Sus scrofa: one gene and its partner. The protein of the gene in region 1 binds, or shares a complex with, the protein of each later gene. Links are inferred from orthologs where the notes say so. Each region holds a gene or a part of one and is shown on either strand. Other genes may lie near its edges.

The links.
Region 2: the proteins of PLXNC1 (region 1) and SEMA7A are in contact, whole or in part, in a crystal structure (PDB 3NVQ), measured with the Homo sapiens proteins. The link is inferred for Sus scrofa from reciprocal best matches to the Homo sapiens genes PLXNC1 and SEMA7A. Residues at the interface, in NP_005752.1 of Homo sapiens: Arg131, Thr151, Glu152, Val153, Asn195, Pro196, Ala197, Ala198, Ser199, Asp200, His201, Thr203, Ala206, Lys208, Arg213, Ser214, Leu215, Ala216, Thr217, Gln218, Glu219, Leu220, Arg222, Lys224, Glu272, Ala350, Ser352, His353; in NP_003603.1 of Homo sapiens: Gln194, Tyr196, Asn197, Gly198, Lys199, Arg202, Arg204, Tyr213, Ser215, Asp216, Thr217, Gln270, Gly271, Gly272, Glu273, Ser274, Ser275, Leu276, Val278, Ser279, Lys280, Pro372, Thr375, Glu376, Phe378, Gln379, Asp382, Arg383.

Annotation. Positions count from the first base shown.
Region 1 is NC_010447.5:89,053,034-89,057,276, forward strand, and holds the start of PLXNC1 (plexin-C1), read right to left. Parts: upstream 2,805-4,243; 5' UTR 2,693-2,804; coding exon 1,634-2,692; intron 1-1,633.
Region 2 is NC_010449.5:59,093,436-59,097,726, forward strand, and holds the start of SEMA7A (semaphorin-7A), read left to right. Parts: upstream 1-1,483; 5' UTR 1,484-1,535; coding exon 1,536-1,716; intron 1,717-4,291. UniProt on the Homo sapiens protein: Plays an important role in integrin-mediated signaling and functions both in regulating cell migration and immune responses.

The sequences.
Region 1 (4,243 bases):
TGCTGTGGGCCGCCGAGCTGTCTTGTCATTAACCCCAGAGACCAAGTCTGCCTAACGCTCGACACACAGTAATAGGTGGGGGGACTTCCAAAGCTTTCACCAGTGAAGTCAAAGATGATGATTTTTTTTTTTTTTTTTTTTGCCAAACTCAAACTGTTAGTCAGGATCTTGCAAAGACAGATGTTAAATATTAAATTGTACTTGTATCTCAAGATGAAGTCATTTAGGGAGCATTACATGTTATTTACGCTTTCAAATTATTCTACCAGTAACCTAAAGGCGGGCATTACCTGTGTGCCCCAGCACACAACGGATGGGCGAGGAGGAAGAGGCCAATGGCCATTCTAAAGGGTCTTGGGAAAGACCTGTCTTTTCTTTCCGGATGACAGGGCTACTGTTTGCTCAGATGTGCTCTAGGGGGACGAGGTGGGGGGAGTGCTTTTCCACGCACTTAGTAATACACCTTGGAGCAAGCATCTATGCTTACACAACAACTGCATCAACAAAACACGTTTTTCCAAGTAGAGGCTCTCCCCCTTTCCTCTCTGAGGCATTTTATACCAAAACAATGGCAACACCTGTAGCGGTTAATTTCTGCTCTTGGATTTCTGTCCAGTTATAAAGGAGGCGCTCAGCAGGCTCTCCTCTCAGGAGCCATATGTGGAGTTGATGTGCCAGCAGCCTTGGAAGGAAAACGGCCTCGGAGAAGTGCACAATGGCTCCATAATCCCCATCAACTGGACCCTCTTGAACGGCCGCTTTATTTTCCAAAGAGACGCCAATCTCAAGAGTCAAGCTGTGTCTTCCCTGGAAACCCAGGGGAAACCTTTGCCATTTGCCTGGCTGGGTGGTGCCTCTGAGCCCCGCGATCTAGTCAGGCAATCTGGAGCCCGGAGACGATAACACCCCAACACTTTCTCTTGCTCGCCCCTCCAGGGTGAGGCTTTTTACCCACAAAGCCACCTCCGCCTGCCCAGCCTCTCCCCCCAGCTAGAGACCACAGCGCGCCCTCGGCAGAGCCACAGCCCCGCCCCCTCGCGCTGGGTCTCGCCGAGGGTTCGGTTCCCCCCAGCCTGAGCCTCTGGTTCCACCGACCCGTGTTGAGCAGGCTACCAACTCTCCGAGACTACACTGCATGTGTTCGGGGGGGGGGGGCACAAAGGCTGGGGTGTGGCAAGTCCTTTAGGTTCCATGGCTTCTCTGCCTAGGGCACCGCGTCTGGAAACCAGGTTGGGGAAAAGGGTCCAAACGACACGCCAACTAACACAGACCACACACACCTGAGGAAGCGATCAGGGACGGGCGGGGGAGCTGCCTGGAGAGGCTCAGACCCAAACAAGCGTTTGAACAAGGAGGGCAGTGGGCTGGAGTCAGCAGAGTTGTAGAGCCGAACTCCTACCCTCTCCACCTCCCTTCATGACACCATCTTTGGGGACCTCTGCTTTAGAGCCACCCGAGGTCTCGGAGACCACGCGAGAAGGGCCGTCGGGCTGCCCGCAGGCTGTGTAGATCAGAGCCCCGCGAAATGCCCACCCTCTCCCTCCCTCTCTGCCTCGCCGGCGGCTCAGCTGCCCGGGCGCTCCCCGAAGCGTCGCGGCCGGGGAACGGAGGGGGGCGGAGAGGCAAGACTTACGCAGTGGTTCTCGGCCTGGAAGTCCCAGCTGCAGGTTCTGGTGCGCGCCTGGATCTCACGCATCCTGAAGAGGCAGAGTGCCGTGGTGGCGGGGGAGCGCCTCTCCTGGCCCTCTCCGGTGGCCGCGCTGAACACGCCCGCCCAGACGTCCAGGGCCTCCACCAGGCTGGAGGAGAGCAGCAGGCGGCGGCCGTCGGGGTGGCCGTGGCCGCAGTCGAGGGCCGCCTGGCCCTGGAACAGCACCTCGTTGCTTTTGGCGATGCGCGCCATGCTGGGCCAGCCGGTGGCGGCGCCGCTCGTGTAGTTGTAGGGGTAGTAAGGGAAGTAGACGCTGCCGTTCCAGAGGAAGGCGTCCACGAAGTGCAGGCTGCCCCCGCCCTCGCGCAGCCTGAGGCGTCCCAGCTCCTGCGTGGCCAGGCTGCGCCCCTCCGTGTCCTTGAGCGCGATGGCCATTCCGCGGTCGGACGCTGCGGGGTTGCAGCGGCTCGCCGTCTCGGGCTCGGGCAGCACGTAGGTGGCGGCCACTGCCAGGTACCAGCGGTTCTGCGGGCCCGCGCGGTACACGACGCCGGCCGTCGAGCCCTGCGGGTGACACGACACCACCTCGGTGCCGTTGCGCAGGGAGCTGCGGCTAAGATTGCCCAGAGGTCGCACCTCGCAGGCGCCCCTGTCGAAGGTCCAGCCGGTGAGCAGCAGCCCCCCGAGGCCGGCCGCCCCCTCGCGGTAGGGCAGCAGCAGCTTGCTGAAGCTGCTCCCCGGCCGGGGCCGCGCGGGGGGCGTCAGCGGGACCGGCTCCGTGCAGTTCCCCGCTTGGTCCCGGTACAGGCGCGAGAGCCGGTGCTCCAGGCTGTAGTCCAGCTGGTCCAGGCAGCTGCCGCTCGCCACGAACACGCCGTCCGCCCGGCTCGCCGCGATGGCTCCGATGGCTTGCTCCGACCGCCACACGGGCTCGTCCGCGCCCCGGCCGGGCGCCGCGAGCGCCAGCAGATAGGCTAGCAGGGGCAGCGGCGCGGCGCGGCGCGGGGGGCGCGGTGATGCCTTCCTCCGGGAGAGCTCCATGGGGCTGGGGGGGCCGCCCCCGGGCAGGGCGCGCGGCGGCGACCGCGGCGGCTCAGGCGCGCGGCGACGGAGACGCGGGCGGCGGCGGCGGCGGCTCCTGCGCGCGCTCGGGCTCCTGCGGCCGCCCCATCCCCGCGGCTCGCCGGGGAAAGGGAGCGGGGAGGGCGGCGCGCGGCGGGCTCGCTCCGGCAGCCTGTGTGGCAGCAGCAGCGGCGGCGGCGGCGGCGGCTGCAAGCCCTGCGCGCTCTGGCGCCGCTTCCTCCTCGCCCTCCTTCTCCGGAGAGTTCCTCTGTGCAGCGCTGGCGCTCGAGGGGAGGCGCGGAGGGGAAGGGAGGGGACGGGCGGAGGGGAGCGAGACAGCCGGGGAGGGCTGGAGAGGTTGGGTGCGCTTGAGCGTTTCACTTTCCCATTGTGAAAGTGGGATGCAACTGGCCCCCTTCCTCATCCTCTTCCTCCTCCGCCCTCCGCCTTCTGGCCGCCCGCCCTCCCTCCACGCCCATCTCCCCTCCCCTCTTGATTCGGTGAGATAGGGAGGAGGGAGGTCTCGTAATTTGGGTTACTGTGTAGGTGGCCTCTTTCATCTATTCATAACAAAGCTGAGCCGCCTGCCGCGGCCGCCACGGCCGCCACCATCGCCCCTCCGCCCGCCCGGGGCTCCCGGGGCGCGCTCACAGGGCACCGAGCTGGCTCCTGCGCCTGTCCGCCGCGGGGCTGCTCCAACGCTTGGGTTTTGTTTACGAGAGCAGCGGGGGAGGAATACGCCAGGCTCGGGGAACTAGGACCCAGGGCGCCAAGGGCTTGCAGCTGAGGCCCGGGGCTCGGGTCCCTGGGAAGCTGCGAGGGCGGCTGACAGGTGTGGAGCGGCGGGAGGGAGGCCCTGGGGAGGAGCGCGGGAGACGTGGACTAGCAGGAGGCTCAAGGGGCCGAGGCCCCCCCGGTGACAGGGGGTGGGTTTCCCCGAGTCAGAGGAGTGACGTGGAGGGAAGGCAGGCGCCAAGATTCTGGTTCTGGACAATCCCTGGGGCCGGAGCTCCCATATTTGAAAAGGGTCTCTCATCTCCCTTGGTAACGGAGTCCCAGGCTCTCAAACCTAGCGCTTAGAAAGTTCCACTCATCATCTAGCCTGAAGGATCATGGCTAATATTTATCGAGCACTTACTGCGTGCTGAGTCCTGCTGTAAATTCACCACATGGATTAAGCCTCATTTGCGACCCGTAATAACCCCATTCGTTACCATCGTCTCCATCTAGTAGTGAGCAGAATGATCATGCAGAGGTGATGGAACTTGCCGGGGGTCCCACCGCTGGTAAACAACAGAACTGAGATTCGAATTCCTATCTGGCTCCAGGCACGCTGACACCGCTCCCTCTAGCCAAGTGCCACCTGTGGTCGTTACAGTCTTACCTGCAGAGGATTCTCAGCAGGGGGGACTGAAAATTTCCCCAGGTGAAACGTTCCCATCTACCTCGCCCCGCCCAGCCTTCTAATCCTAAGAGTCAGGTACTGTTATTTCCCTAGGTTCCCCCCTCTGCTCCTTTCCCATTTTTTTC
Region 2 (4,291 bases), on another chromosome or scaffold:
AGAGCCAGAGGCTTGGGTGTAGGCCTGAGGAGGGGCTCTTCACCTGTCCACAGCCTCCCTCCCTTTGGGGCAGTGTCCCTCTGGGCCTCATGAAGCTGTTGGCCCCATCCAGTGAGCCAGGAACTTAGTCCTGCATGATCTCTGGAGCCATCTTGATTTCGCCTTTTGGCCTGTTGGTGTATTTTGGTGACACTTAGGGAAGCAGGAGGGGATAGCTGGAAGCAAAATATGGAATGGTAAGGCAGAACTTCCTGATGATAACCTCTTCTTGGCCATGGAGCAGGGCAGAGGTTTGGAGCTGGAGCTGAGGCCAGGACAGGCTGCTCTCTGTCTCTGGTGGTGTCTGCAGCGTGTGACTCAAGTCCAGCTAGGTCTGTGGGTCTTGAAGGCTGCAGTGCACCTCTGCTACTTACTCCTCACCCTGTCTCTTCTCTGTGCAGTCCACCTGGGGGTAAGCATCCAGTAGGCACTGGATAAGTGGATTTTTTCATCCATGGTTACCTTGGGCAGATGCAGAGGTGGGTCTGGGACCTCTCTGGCTTGAGGGAGAGAAGACTCCTTTAGAAAGGCAGGCACATGGCTCTGAATAGGTGAGCTGAAAGCAGAGCTGCCTGGGCTGTTCAGGTGACTGTAGAGGGACTGGCCCGGACCCTATGCAGGGGGTCATGGTGGGGTCATCAGGCTGCCTGCATAGCTGAGCACTAACTATGCATCTTGTGGGCAGAGATCCCTTAAAGCTGGTCTGACTGACTCTGCCTTCCCAACAGTGAGTCCTGGGCACGCAGGATGCTCCCCTCTCTTTCTGCTTGGGGAAGGGGACTTCTTAATTATATCCCCCTCCACTCACATGGAAATGAGTTTGGATTTTCTGAGCACACACCAGCTGGCTGGGGGGGAGGCAGCCCAGAAGGCTGCTGGCTGGGGAAGGGAGGAGAAAGGCGGGGAGGGAGCCAGGCCAAGATGAAAATTCCGTGTTCTCACAGCTGAGCAAGGATGGGGCTCTGAGTGCTCCCTACAGATTATCGACCTTCTGCCCAAAACCCACACCCCCTCCTTAGGGGAAAGCGTCTTGTTCCTTCTTATAGGCTCAGAGGAGCCGTGTCCACTCAGGTCAGCCCATCCTCTGAGAACCACAGCCTTCAGAGTCCACTTAGCTGATCATTATCGAGGTTGTCTGTTCCCTCAGGAGAGGTCCTCTCTGACTTCTAGGCCAATCCCTTCCTGGGGTGGGGGGAGTAAATCTAAGGCCTTGAGAGGGGACAGGACCTGGCGCCGATCACAGGAGACCACAAGTCTGTCTTGCTCCCCTTCCCCCAGGTTATCCCCGTGGAGTTGCCCAGGAAAGGGGTGTCGAAGATTCCCCTGACAGCGGTCACTGCTTTACCCCTAAGCCAGCGGGTGGGGAAGTCGGAGAGGGACGGGGGAGGGGCGGGGTGGGGTCAGGCGTTTGACTCCGCCTCCTCTCGTTGGATCTGCCTGCGGTCGGGCGCTGGCTCAGTCTCGGCTGCTCTCCGCCGTTGCTCCGGGGCCGCGGGATGACACCGCCTCCGCCCGGATGCGCCGCCCTCGGCGCCCCGCGCGCCCGCGTTCCCAGTCCGCAGGCTCGGTCCGGGCTCCCGCTGCGGCTGCTGCTGCTGCTGCTGCTGCCGCTCTGGACGGCCGCCGCCTCTCAAGGCCACTCGAAGAGCGGACCCCGCATCTCTGCTGTCTGGAAAGGTAGGTGGCGCCGCGCTTGCAGCGCGGCTCGAGATCCGATGCCGCGCGGGGCGGGTGCGGAGTGTGCAGCACTGGAGAGAGTGCGTGCGCGCGGCTATGCAGGTCCTGGGCTGTCCCCGCGGATAGCGTGTGGGTCTGGGTGAATGTGTGAGTGTGCCCGCTGCCACGCCGGAGCGGGCTGTGACGCTGCGGCGAGCGAGCGGCAAGGGCTGGAGCCCCGGCTAAGTCACTCCAAGTCCGCCCGCAGCCGGGAGCCGCAGCGCGGGGGTGCAGGGGGGAGGGAGAGGGCCCTTCTCTCGGCCCCGAGGCGCTCTCAGTCCTCCAGCGCTGAGGCCTCTGTGCAGAATCCTTTCTCCTGCCGGGACCCCCACCCAGCTCCTCTCTTTCTGAGCTATGGGCTCCGCTGTCGCGCAGGGCGCAGGCTGGGCCGGCAAGGGGGGCGCGGACCCTTTGCCGCCGCCGCTGCGCTCCGGCTGCGGGAACAAAGACCCCGCTGCCTGCCCCTGCCCCCGCCCCGGCCCCAAGCGCGGGCCGGGTAAAGGGGTGGGTACCCTGTAGTGAGCCGGGACGTGGCTCCGTGCGGAGGCTTCAGGCACCCCGGCGCTGCCTCTGCAATGCTGGGACCCGCCGCTCCCCCCTTGTCCGCACGTGGCAGTTGTCACCAGGAATCCGAGCCAGCATGGGGGGCAGTGCCAGTTGGGTGGGGCGCGGCCACTGGGACCCCCAGGTAGGGGATCTGGCAAGGGGCTGCAGCTTTTAGGCCCTGGTGGATATGTGAACTTGGGGGACCGAAGTCTCCCCAGGGGCGCCTCAGTTTAGATCACTGTACAATGGGTCAAAAAGCTGGCTGGGTAGGTTTTGAGGTTTTGTGTTGCAAGGGACTGAAGTTCCCTGCATTGCACAAAAATGCTTCCCCACCCCCAGGACGACTATGCTCTGTCCCCAAATTTGGCAGGTGCTGCAGCCCCCCTGTGGTGGTGGTGGACTGGCAGTGGGGGTGGGAATGGTAGGTCTGGTCTCTCTGGGAGCCTTTTGATGCCTGAGGCGGTTTGCAGGGATTGCAGGAGCCTGAGCATTATCTGGGGCAGGTATTCTTAGCAGAGAGAGAGGGGGAAAAAAAACCCAAAAATGAGTGTCCTGAGCTGCGGCTGCAGCAGAGAGACTATGACTCGCCCAAGGTCACTCTGCATTGTGTGAGCTCACAGTGCAGACAGGGGGCTCTGATCTGGCACAGGACCGGTGCTTGTTCTGGGTTAGAAAGTGAAGAAAGATTTAAGCAGTATTTTGATCATGAAGAGGGTACTCTGAGGGCCAGCCCAGCTACCCAGCCAGAGCTGATCCTTGTGGTAGTGGAGCAGGGCAGTTGGACCTCTGGCGATGCACCTACTCATGGTGGTCACTTGCAGACCCCTCAGTTAGACCAGCTCCAGGCTGGGCTTCTTCTGCCTTCTTGGCATTTGCTTTTTCTTCTTCCTCTTGGTTGTCTTGGACAGCACAGCATTTGTGCACTCTGGAGGGGATGAATGGCCATGTCTAAATGTTCTGGAATCTGCCCCTGTGCCAAACCCCTTGCATTTGGCTCTGCTCACCCCCATCCCCCAAGTCTTCCCAAGATACCCCTCCACACACAGATACTTAATGCACACCCACCTCTTAGCACTTAATGCTGCCTCCCCAGCTCGGGCACTTAGTCCCCACCCTGAGGCTATTTAAAGCTGCTTTCTGTCCTGTTACCCACTTTCCAAAGGGCTCTTTCTCCTGCATGCAGTCACCATTGTAGCCACACTGGCTGTGCCCTCTGCTTGGTAATGCACTCTTGACCCCCACTGGGGTCTTCCAGTCCCTCACCTGTCTTGTCCAAGGGTGTCTGTAGTCTTCTTCACTGGTGCCAGGCACCCCACTGGCCAAAGAGACCCTGCCGTCCACCTGTTCCCCAGGACCACCAGCTGGTAATGGTATGCCTAGCTGACAGCTGCCTCTTATTTCCTTTGGGATGACACATGGCAGTCAGACAGGAATGGGTTTGAGCAAGGCAAACCCAGGAGTTGGATGAGAGGAGGACCCTCCCAGCCTTGCTGTAGGCTGGTCCCTGTATACCAGTGGGTTGAGGGGATGGGATAGTGGCCTCCAGGAATGTCTAGATCAAGGATAGTGGTGGTTCTGGAGATGATTCTCCTTGAGGCCCAGATTGGGGTTTTAGTTATAAGTCAGGACAGGTGCGAGGACGAGTGGATATGAGGGATCGTCTCTATTATTTTCGGCTGCTTGGACCCCCTAAGTCCTAGAGAAAGATTAGATAAAGGAGTTCTGAGAGGGTCCCAACCTGCCTGAGGAGGTTGATGCCTCTCCAGCCTGATGAAGGCCTGGCCCAGGGCAGCTCTGGTCAGAGGGAGGGGTGCCCTTGAGCTCTGTACTTGTCTCTGACCCTCAGAGCTTGCCAGGGCTCTAGAGGTTGTCCCCTCAGGGTTGTCACTGCCACATGGGCCAGTCACAGATGTGACTGTGTGAGCCTGACCTCCTTGCAGCAGGTGAGGGTGGGGGTTGACATGCTTATGTAAATTGTGTACCTCTCTTC